Mus musculus: one gene and its partners. The protein of the gene in region 1 interacts with the protein of each later gene in a biochemical or structural test. Links are inferred from orthologs where the notes say so. Each region holds a gene or a part of one and is shown on either strand. Other genes may lie near its edges.

What was found.
Region 2: the proteins of Btk (region 1) and Ibtk form a complex in vitro, tested with the Homo sapiens proteins (2 studies listed by BioGRID). The link is inferred for Mus musculus from reciprocal best matches to the Homo sapiens genes BTK and IBTK.
Region 3: the proteins of Btk (region 1) and Sh3bp5 form a complex in vitro, tested with the Homo sapiens proteins (2 studies listed by BioGRID, with this or other methods). The link is inferred for Mus musculus from reciprocal best matches to the Homo sapiens genes BTK and SH3BP5.

The regions. Positions count from the first base shown.
Region 1 is NC_000086.7:134,552,141-134,555,640, reverse strand, and holds part of Btk (tyrosine-protein kinase BTK), read left to right. Parts: intron 1-37; coding exon 38-92; intron 93-872; coding exon 873-952; intron 953-1,114; coding exon 1,115-1,242; intron 1,243-3,500. UniProt on the Homo sapiens protein: Non-receptor tyrosine kinase indispensable for B lymphocyte development, differentiation and signaling. Binding of antigen to the B-cell antigen receptor (BCR) triggers signaling that ultimately leads to B-cell activation.
Region 2 is NC_000075.6:85,721,705-85,725,428, forward strand, and holds part of Ibtk (inhibitor of Bruton tyrosine kinase), read right to left. Parts: intron 2,521-3,724; coding exon 2,343-2,520; intron 749-2,342; coding exon 571-748; intron 1-570. UniProt on the Homo sapiens protein: Acts as an inhibitor of BTK tyrosine kinase activity, thereby playing a role in B-cell development. Down-regulates BTK kinase activity, leading to interference with BTK-mediated calcium mobilization and NF-kappa-B-driven transcription.
Region 3 is NC_000080.6:31,433,196-31,436,995, reverse strand, and holds the start of Sh3bp5 (SH3 domain-binding protein 5), read left to right. Parts: upstream 1-895; 5' UTR 896-1,038; coding exon 1,039-1,185; exon of another isoform or gene 1,186-1,797; intron 1,798-2,850; coding exon 2,851-2,913; intron 2,914-3,800. UniProt on the Homo sapiens protein: Functions as a guanine nucleotide exchange factor (GEF) with specificity for RAB11A and RAB25. Inhibits the auto- and transphosphorylation activity of BTK. Plays a negative regulatory role in BTK-related cytoplasmic signaling in B-cells.

The DNA of each region.
Region 1 (3,500 bases):
CTGGCCTAGAAGCCAACCAAGCACTCTCTCTTTACAGGTGGTATTCCAAGCACATGACTCGAAGTCAAGCTGAGCAACTGCTAAAGCAAGAGGTGAGTTCAGGCCGCAAGCAAAATGCATTCTCAGTACACAATATGCAAAACCCAGAATTAGGTCCAACTTTAAACTGCACTCCCAGTTTGAGCTTTTGACGCATTAAAAGTGAAGAGGTTGCATCTCCAGCAGGGACCTTGAGCAGAAAGTCAGGGCTATTCTATTTTCTCTCTCCTGTGTTTGGCCAGGTAGGATGCAGACATAAACACTGTAGCAGTGAATTTGTTAAACTGCTCTGGCTCCTGGAGCCAGCTAATTTTGATATGCCTTGATATCGGTGATATCAATGATTGATAGTTCAATGGCTGGGCACTTCGAAACCTCCCCTCGGCTAGCACACACTTCCCTCAGGTATTCCTGGTTTAACATCTTCTAAATCTCTATTTTATCTTTGCTGCCCTATTACTTTCTGGGCACTGCCCCCCCACCCCCCACCCCCACCCCCGAGTATTCCCTTTCCACCTACATTGCTAGATGGTTTCTCTCCTGCAGCTCTTAAATCTGACCCCTCTGCCTCCGAGTCAGTGTGATTCTCCCCTTTCTCTCCCTCTTGCTCCCTTGCCCACTTAATCTAAAGGTCCCATCTCCTTGCCTTGCCGTTGGCTGTATGGCAGTTCTTTATTATCAATCAATATAATCAATATAATCCCAGCTTGGGGCAGGGATCCTCAGGTCTGGAAGTGCGGCTTTTAGGAGCCGAAATAAGACAAAAGCATTAGAACCAATTCCCAACAAAACACCATTTTCTTTTACAGTGAACTTCTTTTTTGTTGTTTCAGGGGAAAGAAGGAGGTTTCATTGTCAGAGACTCCAGCAAAGCTGGAAAATACACCGTGTCTGTGTTTGCTAAATCTACTGGGTACGTGTTATGGTTCCAGTGATATGGGGTTAAAGGTTAAGGGTGGCCTCCCAACACTTCCTCTTTCACTTTCTCAGCCTTAAACATAAAATTGCCTCACTTCATTGTCCAGGTCCTTCCGTATCTTGTTCCCAAGTTACTGACTGAATATAATTTCCTCAGGGAGCCTCAAGGGGTGATCCGCCATTACGTTGTGTGTTCCACGCCACAGAGCCAGTATTACCTGGCTGAGAAACACCTCTTCAGCACCATCCCTGAGCTCATTAACTACCATCAACACAACTCTGCAGGTGAGTGCCTGCAGGCAGCAGAGAAGGCTTGCAAACACCCAGGGAAGCAATTCAAAACAAGGAGAGAGAAAGTAGTCCCACCAAGCAGTGTGAATTAGTTATGAAAGTTAGTCCCTGTGACGCTGAACAAGGTTCGAGTCAAGATGTAGTCACACACACACACATTGACTTATTTATTTATTTTCTTTTTCTTTTTTCTTTTTTGTTTTTTCGAGACAGGGTTTCTCTGTGTAGCCCTGGCTGTCCTGGAACTCACTCTGTAGACCAGGCTGGCCTCGAACTCAGAAGTCCATCTGCCTCTGCCTCCCAAGTGCTGGGATCAAAGGCGTGCACCACCACACCCAGCTTATTTTTATTTTTTATTTTTATGTAGTGCCCCACCACGCCCAGCTTATTTTTATTTTTTTATTTTTATGTAGTGCCAGGGAATTTAACCCAACATTCTAGGCAAGTGTTCTACCATTGAGCAACTCTCTCAGTCCTGTTTGTTTTTACTTTTGTTTTCTTTTGGGTTTTCAAGACAGAGTTTCTCTATGGAGCCCTGGCTATCCTAGAACTCATTCTGTAAACCAGAGATCTGCCTGCCTTTGCCTCTGCCTCTGCCTTCCAGTGCTAGAATTAAAGCATGTGCCACCACATCTGGCTTTACTTGTTTTTAAAAAAATTTACAATTTTTTATTAATTCTTCATAAATGTCACATCATGTACCCCAATCTCACACATCTCCCCATCCCTTCAATATCCGCCCTCCACCCCTGCAACTTCCCTCCCAAAAGAAAGCAAAAAATAAAAATAGAAATGAAAGACAAACAAACAAAGAAGTAAAAACTCTGGCCCTGGAAGCAGCACACCCTTTCCCCTAATTGGCTTTACTTGCAAATGTTCACTGCAACGAGCCATTGGTCTGGTTCAAGGCCTCTAGCTTCTGCTACACTATCAATACTGGATCCTCACCAGGACTCCTTTTGGAAATCCTTTTTTTTTTTTTAAAGATTTATTTATTTATTATATGTAAGTACACTGTAGCTGTCCTCAGATACTCCAGAAGAACGCATCAGATTTCGTTATGGATGGTTGTGAGCCACCATGTGGTTGCTGGGATTTGAACTCAGGACCTTTGGAAGAGCAGTCGGTGCTCTTAACCACTAACCCACTAAGCCATCTCGCCAGCCCCAGAAATCCTATTTTTTTGCCCTTGGTCATGGAGATCCTGCAGCTTTGGGATCTGTAGGACTGGCCTCTCCACAGGCTCCATAGATGGGGTGGATGTTGGGGTGGGCCAACTCAGAGCCCTGGATCTGGGCCTGGGAAGCATCTGAGCTGGTCAGCCCACCCACTCTCTGGCACCTGCATCACCAGGGTCAGCTCTCCCACTTTTCCCAATCAAGGGGTGGGGCTGGCTCTCCTGTCTCACACCCTTGGGGCTGGCTCACCCATGCCCCCACCAACAGAGCCAACTCTACTGTGCTGCCCAGGCAATGGATGTGGGAAGGGACAGTTTACCTTTTATTTTTACGCAGGCTCTTACTATGTTGTTAAGACTGGCATGGAACTTACTCTGTAGGCCAGGCTATCCTTGAATTCCTGATTCTCCTGCCTCAGCTTCCTGAGCTGGGGTTACAGGCTTGTATAGTGGGACTGACAAGACTATTTCTCTTCCTCATCTGCCATTTATATTTATTATTTTAAAGTGTGTTTGTGTGCGTATGAGTGTTTGAGAGAGAGAGAGAGAGAGAGAGAGAGAGAGAGAAGAGAGAAGAGAGAAGAGAGAACAGGCGCCTATGGGGTCTAGAGGCATTGGATTTCCTGGAACTATGGTTATGTGGGTGCTGGGAACTGAACTCAGGTCCTCTATAAGAACAGTATGTGCTCTTAACCACTGAGCCACTTCTCCATCTGAGGACTAACTTCTTACTTGGTGCTAAGTGAAGATGCGATGATACAGTGACTAATGAGTCAGAGCATGTTCACTAGCAACTATTCAGTGTTCCTACCACGTACCCTTGCAATTCAGTGTTCCTACCACGTACCCTTGCAATTCATTCAGTTCTAGGAGGGAATAAACTTCTGAGTCAAGATGCTTTTTCCTGCTTATTTTTGATTCAATAAAGTTTTATTTTCCCCAAATGTACAGCTGATTGAACCTGTTCCTGCACCTTCACCAGCAGCTGGGGCATCTCCACCCCTTGTGTTTCTGGTGTAAATGGGCTCTGTGCTTTGAAACCAGCTTGAGCAGTCCTTTAGTAAGGAGCTCCAGA
Region 2 (3,724 bases), on another chromosome or scaffold:
ATCAATCAGTCTACAAGCCTGAGTGCTCCATACTTGTAACCACACCCTGTCCGTCCATATAACACCCTAGCAAGGGAGGTGATTACTGCTCTCGCTCTGCCTCGGACTTGGGCAAACCAGAATGGATGGTCACCCCACTTCCAGGTCCTCCTCCCTCTCCACCAATGCCACTAATGTTCCTCTTCTCTCTCCCCTAATATATCTCCTAATATATTTTCTGTGACCATACCACCTCTTTTTTGTCAATTATCATATTCAAAAGTCAGAAACTTTTACACACTACCTAAAAAGTATTTATACTACATCCTTCAGAGCCCGGGACTCTCAAGTACAGCATGGGCTAAAGACAGATGCTGTGTGGGCATATGCACCATCTTCAGTGTTTTCAGGTACACACTAGGGGAAGACACACTATCCCAGTGATTGCCCTGTAACATACTCATTTGCTGAACGTCTCTACAGATCTTACTAACAGCTCCTCAATTGAATATGCATCAGGAGCTACTGAAAACAAAAGAAGGTCTAATGATTATTCCTTCTAAAAATAGAATATATTAAAGACAATTATACCTTGTTTTAGGGTCTGACTGTAGGATTGCAAAGTTGCACCCACTTGGATCTGTGCTGACACTAACAGCTCTATGGGCAAAAGGAAGTTTCTCAAGTCGAATTCTTTCATACACACTATTTGTATCAGGGACACAAGACACATCTGATGAGGAATGATGGAGGTTTGGTAAAATGTCTGCTAAAAAGAAAATAAACGAACTATCATTAATCAAGGCTGCAATGAAATTAGAGTAACTGGAATAAAAATTATTTAAAAACATAAAAGTATCTTTCATACACATGAAGTTCTTCTGAAGAATTTAGAACCTCTCCATCTTCAACACAGCATTACGCTCTGTGTACTTACTACATACACAGAGAATTTTCAGTATCAGCCATATCTTCTTCCGACAAACACACCTTCCACACTGCAGCCCAAGTTAACTTTCAGAACGGCATGCCTACCTATATTAACCCTGTATGAACCCAAGTGTCACCACACGCTCCCTCCATTCTCTGCAGGCACGGAGCCCAAATGACCACACTGTGCTACTACTGAGTCAGGGCAAAATGTCCCTATCCTCAAGAAGAGTAATGAGAACATGCAATAAAAATATGACTAATAAATAGTCAAATTCAGTCTATAAAACAAAGTATAAAATGGTTCCAGGTAGATATGGCACCTATAAAAAAAATTTTCTGGCTACAGTAGAAAAATTTTAAATGAGAAAATATACACAAAGACTATTAAGTCAACAGAAATAATAAAGATGGTTTAGATTGGGACTGTTGCAATCAACCAGGAGAAGGGAAAAGGAATGATTTTTAAAAAAAAATTAAGATGGGCTGGAGAGATGGCTCACTGGTGAAGAGCATTGACTGCTCTTCCAGAGGTCCTGAGTTCAATTCCCAGCAACCACATGGTAGCTCCAAACCATCTACAATGGGATCCGATGCCCTCTTCTGTTATGTCTGAAGACAGCGAGAGTGTACTCATATACATAAATTAAGGGAATAAATCTTTAAAATAAATTAAGATAGGAGCAGCACAACATAGCAACTGCTAAAAGTAAGGGACGGTATGGAGTTTAAAGTACAGCCAGTCACTAGGGCAGAAAACACTGAGAATCAGCTCAGGGAGCCTGAGATCGCAAATTCTGTGTCAGACCACTAAGAGAATGATGTCAAACCCTTCAAGACAGACCCATGCTCTGGTTACACTCTCAAATGTAGACTATTTCAGGCTCCTGGACTTCGCTATGCTTCCTCTACCACTCAGTAATTCTAACTCCAATGCTCTTAAGAAACTCATGTGTACTTATAATAGTTATCTGCCTCAGGGAACTTTAAGTAAAAATATCTTTTGGTTCTATAAGCTGTGAGTCCCACATTTTTGCATAGTCAATACACCTTGCATGTTTATAGACTTGAGTCATCTATAAAAATATAAAACACAAGAAACCAATATTATGCAAAACTCTTCATTTTATGTTTTATAATTTTGATGCATTTATAACTCTGAGCAATCATAAATGTTAAGATATGCTGTAAGCATTTAACAGGTAGCTCAGTGACTCAAGAGGACGTAATGAAGGACCACAATGCCAGAGAGTACATTCAATGCTAATGACAGAGAGGGACACCCATGCCTTGTGCCATGAGTGACTTTACAGTCTGTAGCAAACAGGCACTGAACTAAGCACAAAGGCAAACACACAGTTTAGAGGTCAGCCGAGCAGTACCTAACACATCCAAAGCTGACTAGGGTACTAAGGGCAGTCATACTAACTGACCTTTCTTTTCAGAATTCTTTCTTTTGTCTTCAAACCATTTCCCTTTAAATCCTTCCCCATCCTGTGTGACAAACAGAATTTCATTTCTATTTAAAGCAATATCGGAGATTGACACCTGGCGAGGATAGGCCCATCGGCACTGCTTCAGAGAACTGCTGATTGATCTCCAGCAAAACACCTGTGAGGGAAGCAGAGCACAGCACAGCATAAAGCGCACAGCAGAGAGCAAGCACACTCGGAATCAAACAGTACTGTCAGAGTAAGTGCCTGAGCTTGTGTGTTTCCATGACTACTCCTCCACAGAGAAGAGAGATGCTACAAAAATCAAGACGATGTTGGACATACACCTTTTAGGAAAGTAGATTATGCCACATCACGAATTAAAATGTATGTCAGTGGCACTCCTCCGAAGGAGGTGCCGTTTCCTGCATAACTTGCTTGGGGCATATAGTCCTGCTGGAATAATGTAGCACACTAAAATGTTAGAGCCAATACTTTAATGTCAGATAATTACCGAAATCAATCCAACCTACTCTCAAGAATAACAAGAAGATATACTTAATTATAACCAAAACAAAATCTTTTTGTTGTTGTCGTTTTTTTGTTTTGTTTTGTTTTGTTTTTCAAGACAGGGTTTCTCTGTGTAGCCCTGGCTCTCCTGGAACTCACTCTGTAGACCAGGATGGCCTCAAACTCAAAAATCTGCCTGCCTCTGCCTCCCAAGTGTTGGGATTGAAGGCGTGCACCACCACGCCTGGCTACAAAATCTTAAGTAAAGGCCCCAGTGTAAGATTCCCAGCAGCCCTGGGAATGGGATAGGAAGTACTCCTAAGGTGCACAGAGGATGTAAGGGGAGGGTGCTGGGCTGCCCTGTGCAGCTCCATCTACAGCAACAGAGCCTTTGCCTGGGTACCTGTCATGTTCTAAACTTAAAACTGCTTGTGGCTGTTCACTTGTTTTAAGACAGGCACTTTCTATACAGTCCAGGCTGGCCTGAGAATTCATGAGTTCAGCCTCAGTGTCCCGTACTATGGGATTAAAGCAGTGTTCCATCATACCCAGTCAAAACTGATGGTTTCCAAAAGTATGACTCCTCAGAACCATTTTTTTTATTAAGTAAAGCACAAAATAGCACCTGCCAAAGTCATTCACACAGAAAGTCATGCTCTCCCTATGAAAATAATGCCTACAACTTGTACCTAGAAACACACCAGCAGGCGGAGCTTTGCAATTACAACTTGTGTCTGTTTATCTTTGAGGGGTGAGGTTGAAACAGGGTCTTCTAAGCAGCCCAAGATGCAATGTAGTCTACTATGCAGACAGCGCAGCCTCTGCCTCCAGCTAGGACTACAGGGAGCACCACTGTGTAAAGGCTGTGCGGT
Region 3 (3,800 bases), on another chromosome or scaffold:
CGGGAGGCCTGTGGTACACGTGAGATTCTCTGGTACTGGCTTTGAAGAAGACTGACCAGTTGAGAAAGAGGACAGATACCCCTTTGCTTTGCTTCTGAGGTGGGGGAAAAGGCAGGATCACAGGCTCCGAGAACAACTCTCTCAAGCAAAGCTGTCCTCCAAACTCCCTCTACAAAGTATCCACTTTGCTCAGGGCATCTGACCAGGTAGTCCCTGACCTCACAGTGGCCCTAGCACCTGTAAACGTTCAGAGAAACCTGTCCACTGTTAGCCCTTTTGTGATGCCCAGTTGGCTAGGCAAGCTCTAGCTTGGTGATGTTGGGCAGAACCACATAGTTCCTACACTGGGCAAGCTTTGCCACGAGCAAGCAGGGCAATCTCTTTAAAAAGCCGCCCGATCCATAGATTTCCCCCCCCGCCCCCCCCAGCTCCATGGGCTCTTCGTGCATTCAGAATATCCAGGAAAGCCCTAAGAGCTCATGCCTTCGCTTGCCGAGCTTTGCCCAGCAGACTCCAGGCTATGATGTCCACTCGGTGGCTGGACCTGGCTAGCCATCCTCTGTCTGCTGTACAGACAAGATTAGGGTAGAGTTCCCTTTTCTGTGACTCCAAATAGACACAAAGGTAGCTTTGAAGAATGGAAATCACCCGAACTTTCCTTCTGTGCCTTGATCTGCTTCACTGGAGGCAGGAGGAAACTACCTTAAGGCGGCCCACGCTCGGGCTGGTGAGCCACTGGGCGGCACCTCTCCTAGTGGCCATGGCCGGGACTCCAGTGCACTGGGCTTTTTGTGACAGAGTGTCGGGTGACACAGGCTATCACGGCGGCCTGGGCAAAGTGGGTGCGGTGTACTGCGGGCCGCTGCAGACAGGGGGCAGCCGCGCCCACTTCCTCTGCCACTCCGCACTCGCCGGCGGAGCACCCGGGGTGGCAGCGCTGCGCGCTCAGACCTACCCGGCTGCGGCGAGGTGGCCCTCGGTGCGTCCGGATCCCACCGTGCGCTTTGCGACCCGGCTGCGGCGCGTTCGGCTGCCCGCATGGACACGGCGCTGAAACGGAGCCGCTCTGACGAGCCGGCGGAGCTCCCGCCGCCTGCCCGGGAGGTGGAGGAGAAAGAGGAGGAGGAAGAGAGGATGGAACAGGGCCTGGAGGAGGAGGAGGAAGAGGTGGACCCCCGGATCCAGGTAGGACGCGTGACAGGAGCCCACAGCCGCACCCCACCAGGGCTACCGTGGAAGTCGGCATCTAACGCAGACACATGCCTTACAGCCTCGCGTGTTCGCGGTCGCGGGGTGGGGGCTGCCTAAATTCAGGATCTTCACCAAGGGTTGGAACACCCCATTTCACGGTCTCCCTGCGGAAGGCTTCGGTGCCCGCGTGAACGCGGCCTGATTATTGCGGGGATCCCTGCAGACCCTCGGCCCAACCCGAGGGTCCCTACTACACGACCAGCTGTTCAGGCGGATTGCAACAAAGGAAAAAGGGGGCGGGGGCCCCGAGCGGAGTCGGGGTACCTCAGCGCCACGCTTGGAGCACTGCACAGCCTCGGGGCTGCAGCGCAGCGTTATCCCACCTGCGTGGATGCAGACATCGTGGTGGGCGAGCAGGGCAAGGTGGCTGTCGCTTGCCCCTGTAGTGTGGGCTGCACCGGTGTGGGGTGCCTCGTGAGCCCTCACCTGGCCTGGGCTGCCGTCCTCTTCATTGTCAACACATGGTGGGCGTCGTTGCCGTTGCCACCGTTGGCACTGTGTTGCACTTGGCCTGAGACTGTTTAAAACCCTCCTTTTCCTTGTGAGGTCAGTGTGAACGTCCACCAGGGACAGCTGCTGCGCAAAGCCGACGCGTGGAGGCAGGGAAAGCAGAGAATGCCTGGCTTTCTGTGCCTCCATTTCCAGGAGAGAGAGTTAAAAAACAATTTCCAGGAGTGACAGCTTAACCTCTTCACCTTCCTAAGCACAAAGCAAATTCCTTTTCATGACCCGTTTTGTACCCTTTCCATAAATCATTTTTTAAAAAATAGCTATTAAACATACTTTGCAATTTCTGGATCCATAATTGGTTTTAAGTGCACAGATAAAGAAAAAAAAAGAGCCTGCTTTAAATTCATCAGTTTGGCTTAAATTAATTATTTTGTCAAGTCAATACACTAAAGATCAGTAAGAAAACCTCCTCATTGGTTATTCTGTTAATTCGGGCCCTGGGCTTGGATTACAGAATCTTGTGGATTTGGTGTGGAATTTTGTTAGCAAGACCTTTGTTCACAGAGCAAAGATGAGCTGAACGAGGATGAGTTAACTCATGTTGGCTACTTACAAAATGTCAGACTGCAAATGTTTAAAAGAGGTAGGGTTACAGTCAGTTAACCAACACCCCAGTTAGGCAGGGCAAATAGTTCGCAGTTAGAAAAAAAAAAAATCATCTCTTTATAGGGAGATAGCCCATGATGAGTTAATGCTGGAAGTCTGCCTTTGGCTGGGCTGCACTGGCCGTATTGTCCTGTTCTGATTTCCTCGAAAAGTTCTTTCCTAAAGCAAAGGGTGCTGTTTTGACTGGGTTAAGTTACTGTTTATGACAGATGAGTTCACCTGAAAGAAAAAAAAAAAGAACAATGACTTTTCAGAGAAAGATAAATCTGTAGGACTTTAAAGGCGTCCAAAAAAAAAAGGACACAGCCTACAACAGGTTTTAGGCTTTTGTCTTTTAGCCGAGCCTCAGCTGTCTTCTTGAGGAATGAACCGACTTGCATCATTCAGGGATGACCTTCCAGTTGTAAACTAAGTTACACTAAAAACAAAAGCCCAGCCCTTCTAATTTCTCTCTCTCTCTCTCTCTCTCTCTCTCTTCATTAGGGAGAACTGGAGAAGTTAAATCAATCCACGGATGATATCAACCGACGGGAGACTGAGCTTGAGGTACAGGGAGCTGGGGCACTGTTCTGGGGTGAAACAGTGTCAGTCACCTTTGACCCTGGGCTGGTTAATTTTGTTTTAATAGCTGGAGGGCGACTGCAGGAGGCCCTTGCTTGGAGGTTGAGCAACAGCATGTGTGGACAGTAAAATACACTCAGTCCAGGCTGTGGGCAGAGCCTGGATCCAATTTCATGTGCTGTTTTTCATTGTGGAGGCTCCATTGGGGCCAGAATCAAGGGCTGAGCAGAGTATTAAACAATGCTTTAGGCTCCAAATATTCTGGGATCTGTGGAAAGGCTAAAAGAATTTCGATTTAGCCAAACACTTTAATGGAGTTTACATCTCTCAGTATTTTATTTAGGGTGGCTCCTTCCATTCATGCTTGGAGCTGCTATGGTTCCCTCAGACTTAAGCCAGATATTTTACTTCCCATTCTAACAATTCACCTTTCTGATTCCCCCCTCATTTATTTACTGTCAGCGTGAGCAGAATGTAATGATCTTAATGGTAACAAAAAGCTGTTTAGGCTGGGAAGGGCTTTCCTGCTGGGAAAAATTTTGGAAGATAAGATCTTGATTTGAACTTGAGAATGTTTCAGCCTTCCTGTAAACAAGTTCGGGTTCTTAGAAGCCACCAATTTCTAAGTAGTGGTTGGGGTTACTTGCCAGTGGGAGCATACCCCTGTGAGTGACTGTCACAGCTAAGGGACTTCAGAGGGCTGCGGTAAGAACCTATTTCTTGAAGTAGAAAGAACAAGACGAGCCTAAGGAGAAAGCAGAGAACATCAGGCCCCTCAGAGCCAGGGTGTGGGGAAGAGGAAAATACTTCACTGGAAGTTCACTGGCAGCCTGCTTTCTGATAGCATATAGCCTTGAACTCACTGATCTGTG